2 linked regions of the Coturnix japonica genome follow. The protein of the gene in region 2 purifies or fractionates together with the protein of the main gene of each other region. This does not show direct contact. Links are inferred from orthologs where the notes say so. Each region holds a gene or a part of one and is shown on either strand. Other genes may lie near its edges.

What was found.
Region 1: the proteins of PRC1 (region 2) and PLK1 purify together in Homo sapiens (affinity purification with western blotting; 4 studies listed by BioGRID and IntAct, with this or other methods). This does not show direct contact. The link is inferred for Coturnix japonica from reciprocal best matches to the Homo sapiens genes PRC1 and PLK1.

The regions. Positions count from the first base shown.
Region 1 is NC_029529.1:6,809,626-6,813,904, reverse strand, and holds the start of PLK1 (serine/threonine-protein kinase PLK1), read right to left. Parts: upstream 2,867-4,279; 5' UTR 2,685-2,866; coding exon 2,307-2,684; intron 2,108-2,306; coding exon 1,939-2,107; intron 1,847-1,938; coding exon 1,702-1,846; intron 1,501-1,701; coding exon 1,407-1,500; intron 1,108-1,406; coding exon 888-1,107; intron 578-887; coding exon 419-577; intron 202-418; coding exon 124-201; intron 1-123. UniProt on the Homo sapiens protein: Serine/threonine-protein kinase that performs several important functions throughout M phase of the cell cycle, including the regulation of centrosome maturation and spindle assembly, the removal of cohesins from chromosome arms, the inactivation of anaphase-promoting complex/cyclosome (APC/C) inhibitors, and the regulation of mitotic exit and cytokinesis.
Region 2 is NC_029525.1:18,211,372-18,215,411, forward strand, and holds the start of PRC1 (protein regulator of cytokinesis 1), read left to right. Parts: upstream 1-1,220; 5' UTR 1,221-1,343; coding exon 1,344-1,354; intron 1,355-4,040. Other genes in the region: VPS33B (vacuolar protein sorting-associated protein 33B), read left to right, coding at 116-217, 449-524, 592-699, 800-879. UniProt on the Homo sapiens protein: Key regulator of cytokinesis that cross-links antiparrallel microtubules at an average distance of 35 nM. Essential for controlling the spatiotemporal formation of the midzone and successful cytokinesis.

The sequences.
Region 1 (4,279 bases), on a different chromosome or scaffold from region 2:
TACTCTTGAATGCAAACACTGATCATGATTTAAGAACTAAATCTACACTGAGCACAGATCAGGACTTCTACCAGCTGCTTTAGGAGCTAGAAAAGGCTGAAGTACTGCCATCATGTTATTTACCTAGACCATACTTATCCGAGTAGTCCACCCATTTGCTAACCCAAAAGATGGGAATACAGGCTGGGTCTTCAGCTTCTTCTGCAAGGAGAAAAGGAGTTTGTTAGAAGACATTTTAAGGCATGCTGTGCAGCACAGCAAGCAAGGCCAAGAGGAAGGTAAGTAGCTTCCACATTGCTTTTCTGCCTTTCAGGTTGAAGCTGAGGTCAGTTGGTCCCTCAGTTCAGCCAAGAGGCATCAATGACAGAAGCAAGTTGTCCAAAAATGTCAGTGCCTGTGGGATTGTCCCCAGACTCACCTTGTCTCACTGCAGTTCTCTCAGAGGGTTTGGCTGAGTTGACTGCAGTCAGCTGCTGTAACATGTCTGCTAAGTGACACTCAATGCTGTCTCCCACCTCCCGCAGCCCAGCTGCATCTTCCTTTTCAGGCAGGTTTTCTAATGCAGGGCTTTCTGGTCCTGGGCCAGAAAAAAAAGAGAAGATTGCAGAAACATGAGCAGCAAGTTTCTAAAAGCACCAATTTACATGCTACCCTAGTTATAAGAAACACATTATGCACCTCATAGCTGAACTGCTCCCTGCTTTGGTTCTGGACAAAGAACAAGGAGAACTCCCAGACACGATATGTTCTAGTTATCATGAGAACTGGGAGAGTAGGTGAGGCAGCACTATATTCCCCACAGATGGGTCTGTGTGTTGCTAGAGGCCAGGCAGGCACTCATCCAGTGCTGCAGTCCTCAGCCCTCACTTCCAGACGCCTCCTCTTACCTTTGTTGAGTGCCGTCAGTGGCTTTCGCCCATTCAGTTCAAGTGTGCTGGGAGCGATTGAAAACCGAGGTGCAACAGTGAGACAGCTGGTGGGCAGGCGGCTGGGGATGTACCCTGATGTGAAGAACTCATCGTTCAGCAACTCATTGATAGTTGGGCGCGTGGCAGGGTCAGATCTCAGCATCTTCTGAATGAGGTTAGCAGCTACAGGGTTGATGTGCTAGGAGGAGACAGGCAGAGTTGTGAGTCAAGCAGAAGGACAAGCACACATTAGTGGCATCTGCTCTGTATAATACAACAGGTTCTGCTCAGAGCACAGCTCTGGGTCAGGCAAGCAGGACATAAGCCTGGGAGACAGAACCATACAGGTTCACTCTGCCACTGATTGATACAGCCCCTTCCCATCTCACTGTGATAATAGCTGCTTCACTATTATGTGAGAGCCCACTGAGTGCCAGAAATGGGATGGTACAAGAACGGCTGCAAGATGAATAGACCCACCCATGAGAAGTACTTTACCTTGGGAATAGTATACTCATTCTTCTTGATTCGGAGGTATGTTTCTTTGAGACAAGAGGTTTCAAAAGGTGGTTTCCCCACCAGCAGAGTATACCTGTGTGTTTGTAGACATGGAAGTGTGTTAGATTTATTCCCCTCCCTCCCCCAGAGCACCAGGGAGGTCAGGTGCCAGCAGCCATGGCAGTGTGCTGGATACAGCACATCCATAGCTGCAGGATACACCAGAACCTCACAGGGGCCAACAGGATGTGGGGCACAGGGACCTCACAGCCCTGCAGGAGACACTTTGACTCACATGATGCAGCCAATGGACCACACATCCACTTCAAAGCTGTGCCCCTTCTTGCCCAGCACCTCTGGGGCGATGTAGTTGGGGGTCCCACACAGGGTCTTCTTGCGCTCACCATCATACTCCACTTTGGTGGCCAAGCCAAAGTCACCTTGGGGAGACACAGAGATGGGAGCAATGAGAGAACCCAGGTGGGGTGGGACAGCCATGGGGGTCCTGCAGGCACCGCACCCCGACACCTACCGATCTTCACCTCCATGTCATCGCTAAGGAAGAGGTTTCCCAGCTTGAGGTCTCGGTGGATGACGCGCTGGCTGTGCAGGTACTGGCAGCCCAGGATGGTTTGCCGCAGGTAATAACGCACCTCGGGCTCGCTCAGCGCCTTCCGCCGCTTGTGCAGCTCCAGCAGTGACTGCGGGGATAAGAACACACGGGGATAAGAGCACATAGGGATAAGAACACACGGGGATAAGAGCACATAGGGATAAGAACACTCGGGGATAAGAGCACATAGGGATGGGGGTGTTGGTCACGGTGATGGGGTGTTGGTCGGGGTGTTGGTCACCCAGCTCCCATCCCGCTCAGCCCCCACCCGCACCCCCCGCCCTCACCCTGCGGCGGCACAGCTCCAGCACCACGTAGACGAAATCGCTGTCCTCGAAGAACCCCTGGAAGCCCACGACGTGCTGGTGCGCCAGGCTGCGGTGGATGGCGATCTCCATCGACATTTTCTCCTTCTGGTGCGGTTTGGCCAGCAGCGATTTGGGCACCACTTTCCCAGCGAACACCTCCCTGCTCTCGTTCTCGGTCAGTTCGTAGCACCGAGCGAAGCCGCCCTTGCCCAGGAACCGGCCCCGCACGTAACTGCGCCTGGTCCGCGGGTCCAGCAGAACCTTCGGAACCTCTTTACCCGCAGCCGCCGTCGCTCCACCCGATCGGGCCGGTTCCACCGCAGCCACCGGTCGGGCTTTGCCGCCCGCCGCGTTCATGGTGCCGCTGTCCGAGCTGAGAACTGCAGTCAAAGCCGAATGAGGCGGAACCGAACCGGATCCGAACCCCGAAGCGGAGCCGTGCGGGACGCGCTGTGTCGCTGTGTCTCTATGTGCGGCGCTCAGACCGATTCAAACGCGGCCCCCGAGCGTTACGCGCCCGCGGCGGCTCCTCATTGGTCCGGAGGATTTAAAATCCACGCCGCCCGCCGCGGAGCAACATGGGAGCGGAGCGACACAGCCCGGCTTAAAGAGACAGGAACCGGCGGGGACGGAGCACAGCGCCACCCAGCGGGCGGGAGGAGCGAGCGGCGCGGCGGGTATGGGCAAACGCAGTGGGGTATATGGCAACCAGTGGGTTATTGGCACTGCAGTGGGTTATTGGCATTGCAGTGGGTTATTGGGCACCCAGTGGTTATGGGCATTGCAGTGGGTTGATTGGCACCCAGTGGGTTATTGGCAATTGCATGGGTTATTGGCACCAGTGGGTTATTGCACTGCAGTGGGTTTATTGCATTGCAGTGGGTTATTGGCACCCAGCTGGGTTATGGCCATTTGCAGTGGGTTATATGGCACCGAGTGGGTTATTGGCACCGCATGGTTATTGGGCACTGCAGTTGGGTTATTGACATTCGCAGTGGGTTTATTGGCATTGCAGTGGTTTATTGGCATTGCAGTGGGTTAATTGTGGCATTGCAGTGGTTATTGGCATTGCAGTGGGTTGTTGGCATTGCAGTGGGTTATTGGCACCGCAGTGGGTTATTGGCATTGCAGTGGGTTATTGGCACCGCAGTGGGTTATTGGCACTGCAGTGGGTTATTGGCATTGCAGTGGGTTATTGGCACCCAGTGGGTTATTGGCATTGCAGTGGGTTATTGGCATTGCAGTGGGTTATCGGCACCGCAGTGGGTTATTGGCACGGCTGGGGCAGGAACTGGCAGCGGGGTGATTCCTACACGGGAGAACTAATGGACACTGCCAGCCCTCCGGGGCGACAGGAGAGCGAGCTGAAGGGGAGCTATAAGAAAGGTGGGTCTGTGCGTCAGGACAAGGGGAAACGGTTTTAAAAGGGATGTAAACTTCAATTGGATGTAAAGAAGCTGTTTGCAGAGAGGGGGGTGAGGAATGGCACAGGGTGCACGGAAAGGTGGTGGTGCCTGCAGACACCCATGGTCAGGCTGGATGGGGCTCTGAGCACTGATGAAGCTGTGGGTGTCCCCGCTCAGTGCGGGGCTGAAGCTGCTGCAGGGATCACGCAATGGGATTTATCCATCTCCTCCCTCTCCCTGTGGGCTGTGAGCAGCTTTTCACACTGCCACACTTCACTATGTGCAGGGAATTCATGCTCGATGTGTTTTTCCACACAGCCTGTTGTGATGCTTCCACGTGACAACGTTTGGCTTATAAAATACATTTCCACACTGACCCAAGAATGTGACACTTCTTTATTGTGCAGAATCCACCCATTTTTGTTGGCATATTCTTCAGTTTCTTCCCCCCTCTGCCACCAAGGTGCCATATCACCAGGTGGATGTGATTGTACCCAGCCTCCTTGATGATTCTTTTCCCTCACCAGCCATAACGTGGAACACGAG
Region 2 (4,040 bases):
GTGCTGCAAGGGCAGTTTGTGCTGCCGGCCCTGCCTGGGGCTCAGCCTGACACAGAGACACAGAGCCCGACCCCCCTGTGCTTTGCTGTCAGTACCAAGCGGTGCTTCCCCGCAGATCCCACGGGTGGACGGCGAGTACAACCTGAAGGTGCCTCGGGACATGGCGTATGTGTTCAGCGGGGCCTACACGCCCCTGAGCTGCAAGATCATCGAGCAGGTCGGTGCCCCCAGGTGCTCTCAGTGCTGCCCTGTGCCCAGAGCTGCCCTGATCTGTGCTATGCTGTGTTGTGCTGTGCTATACTGTGCTATACCATGCCATGCTATACCGTGCTATGTGGTACTGTGCTATACTGTGCTATACCATGCCATGCTATACCGTGCTATGTGGTACTGTGCTATACTGTGCTATACCATGCCGTGCTATACCGTGCTGTGCGGTGCCGTGCAGGTGCTGGAGCGTCGCGGCTGGCAGGGCCTGGAGGAGGTGCTGCGGCTGCTGAACGGGAGCGAGTTCTCCATGGCCGGTAGGAGCCGTGTTGGGGTGTCGGGGGTCGGTGCCGGGCGGGGCCGTTGTGACGCCGTGTCCCGCAGACGGAGCGATGGAGGATGGCGCTGCACAGCGCGTGGTGCTGGCCGTGTTCATTGGGGGCTGCAGCTACTCCGAGATGGCGGCGCTGCGATTCGTGGGCAGGGAGAGAGGTACGGGATGGGGGGGAGAGGGACGGGACGGGACGGGGGTTCAGCGTTGGGGCCGTGTGTGTTAGTGCTGCCCATGTTGCCGTGCTGTCCCCGCCCTCAGGTTACCGGTTCATCTTCCTGACCACCGGCATCACCAGCAGCTCCCGTGTGATGGAGGCCATGGCCGAGCACAAGGTGTGACAGCGCTGGGGCGGGGCGGGCTGCGCTGCGGGGCCCGGCCCGCTCAATAAACGCCGCCGTCCAGTCCGACCCTGTCTGGTACCGTCCGTCTCGGCCCGGTTTATCCCGGTTCATCCCGGTTCCATCCCGGTTCATCCCGGTCCATCCCGGTTCATCCCGGTTCCGTCCCGAGGCGTCATTCAAAGCCGAGCGGCGCGCGCGTTTCTGTGTCACGTGATCGGCGTCAAAAGTCGCGCGTGCGCAGTGCGGCGGAGCGCCGCTCAGAGCCCAGCGGCCGCACGCAGCCGTTCCGGCTCGCGATTGGGCGGACGCCCCGACGGCGCTTGGCTGCCATTGGCTGACAGCCGGCTGGGGGCGGGACCTGGGGAGCGGTTGTGGGCGGGGCCAGGCGCGAAGCTTCAGCCAATGAGCGGCTGAGGAACCAGAGTTTGAATCGGCGGCTGCGGGCGGCGGAGAGTGGGGACATGAGGAGGAGGTACGGGAACGGGAACGGGAAAGGAAACGGGGAAGGGGATGGGAGACGGGAACGGAAACGGGATACGGAACGGGGAACGGACTGGGATACGGGAACGGGAAATGGGAACTGGAAACGGAACGGGAATACGGACGGGAACGGGGAAGGGAATGGGAACGGGAACGGAACGGGAGACGGGAGTGGAACGGGGACGGGAACGGGAACGGGACGGGAACGGGGAAGGGAACGGTTACGGGGAACGGGAACGGCGTACGGGACCGCGGATGGGAGACGGGAACGGAAACGGGACGGGAACGGGGAACGGGAACGGAACGGGATGGGGACGGGGACGGGAACGGGGGATGGAGTACGGAACGGGAACGGACGGGAAACGGGACGGAACGGGAACGGGAATGGCGACGGGACGGGAACGGAAACGGGAACGGGATGGGAACGGGAACGGGAACGGAAACGGGAATGGAACGGAACGGGAACGGGAATGGGAACGGGAACGGACGGAACGGAGCGGGAATGGGGCAACGGGAATGGGGAGTGGGGATGGGAACGGGAAGAATGGGCTGTGATACGGGGATGGGGCCCGGGGCCGCGGCGGGGAGCGGGGGGAGCAGTGGTGCGGGGTGCGGTGTCCCGGTGTCGTTGTCGGGTGTTGGCGGTGCCCGGTGGCTGTCGCGGCCGCCCTCGGAGCCGCTCCGCCGTTAGCGAGTGCTGGCGGCCGAGGCCGTGACGGCCTGAAACTCGCGCCCTGTCCGCCGCCTGGCGGGACATATGGTGAGCGATCGGCAATCGCCCGAGGGAACTGCGGCTCGAGCGACCGGGGCTGTGAAGAGACACCTGTCAAAGGTTCAGCGGGGCGGGGTCGGGAGCGGGGGATCGGGGGAGGGGGCGGGCGCGGGACGGGGACGGCGCCGTGCTGTGTGTTCCTGCATGCCCTGTGCTGTGCTGTGCCTTCGTGCTGTGTTGTGACATGTGCTCCCATGCTGTGCCGTGTTGTGTGGCTCGTCTGGGTTGTGCTTCATCTCGTGCTGTGTGTTTGTGTTGTGTGTGCTCCATGCGTGCTGTGTTGTAGCTGTGTTGTGTTTGTTTGTGCTCCAATGCTGTGCTGTGTTGTGTTGTGTGTGCTCCATGCTGGTGCTGTGCTGTGTTGTGTTGTGCGCGTGCTGTGGCTGTGTTGTGTTGTTATCGCTCCATGCCGGCTGTGCGTGGCCTTATTGTAAACTGTATTTTGCTCCATGCTGCCGTGTTGTACGCGTGTTTTTGCTCATGCCGTCTGTGCCTCAGAAACCTGCTGGACATTGATGGTGGCGTGAGGAGAGCGCCTGGAGGGAGGCAGATGCGCAGACCGTGGCCGTGTACAGGAAGAGCTGGACGGCCCTTCTGTGCCGTAAGCTGCACGCCGAGCCTTCCAGGTGAAGAGCGCACAACAGGAGCCTGCCACCGGGAGCTAGGTGAGCCCGAAGGCTTCACCCAACGACAACGGCCCGGGGTGGGCGCTGGGAAGGCCGCCAGCAAGAGCCTGTGGATGCAGCCGTGGGTATGCAGCGCTGTGGGATGCTGCGCTGTGGGTGCAGCCACTGGGGATCCAGTGCCGTGATGCAGGCGCTGTGGGATGCTGCGCTGTGGGATGCAGCGCTGTGGGATGCAGCGCTGTGGGATGCAGCGCTGTGGGATGCAGCGCTGTGGGATGCAGCGCTGTGGGGTGCTGCGCTGTGGGATGCAGCGCTGTGGGATGCAGCGCTGTGGGATGCAGCGCTGTGGATGCAGCGCTAGTGGAAATGCAGCGCTGGTGGCTGATGCAAGCGTGCGATGGCATGCAGGGCTGTGGGATGCTTGCGCTGTGGGGATGCTAGCGCTGTGGGATGCAGCGCCTGTGGGAAATGACCGTGCGTGGGATGCAGCGCGCTGTGGGTTGCAGGCGCTGTGTGGATGCAGCTCTGTGGGAGCCAGCGCTTGGGGATGGCAGCGCCGTGGATGCCAGCTGCTGTTGTATGTCAGCGCTGTGGGAGTGCAGGCGCTGTGGGGGATGCGAAGCGGGCGCTGTGGTGCTGTGCTGTGCGGAGGCCAGGCGCTGTGGGGTGCTGTGGCTGTGGGATGCAGCGCTGTGGGATGCAGCGCTGTGGGAATGCAGCGCTGTGGGATGCAGCGCTGTGGGATGCTGTGCTGTGGGGTGCTGTGCTGTGGGAAGCCCAGGGAGCACTCCACTGAGCTCTGGAGCTGCATCCCAGTTCTCTGCTCCCAAACCTCCAAGTACCTGAGTTGCATCCCAGAGAACTGCAGAATGAGCCCTGATCCCGCGCTTCCTTCGAGACGCAGAGGGACACCCATCCTGCAAGATGGTGAATTGAATTTACGGCCCGCGTTAGTGCGTGCTGAAGCAGAAGAAGGACAGGAAAGCAGGAGCGAAGGCCTCTGCAGAGAACAGATACGAGAACCTGTGCGAGCATCCTCTGCGTGTCCTCTTCAGCATTGATGATCGGTGCCGGTGCCCACGGACGAGCTGGACGCGCTAACCGACGTCCACGTGCCCAACTCAGCGCAGAGAAGGTAGGCGGGAGGGGCCCAGAAGCATCTGGGAGGTTGGGGGCTGGGAGGTGCCGCAACCGGGTCCTTCAAGGAGGCTGCTCATCTCAAGGAGCGAAGGCAAGAAGAATTTTCTAGCAATCAAGCGGCAGGGTGGCAGTGCAACTGC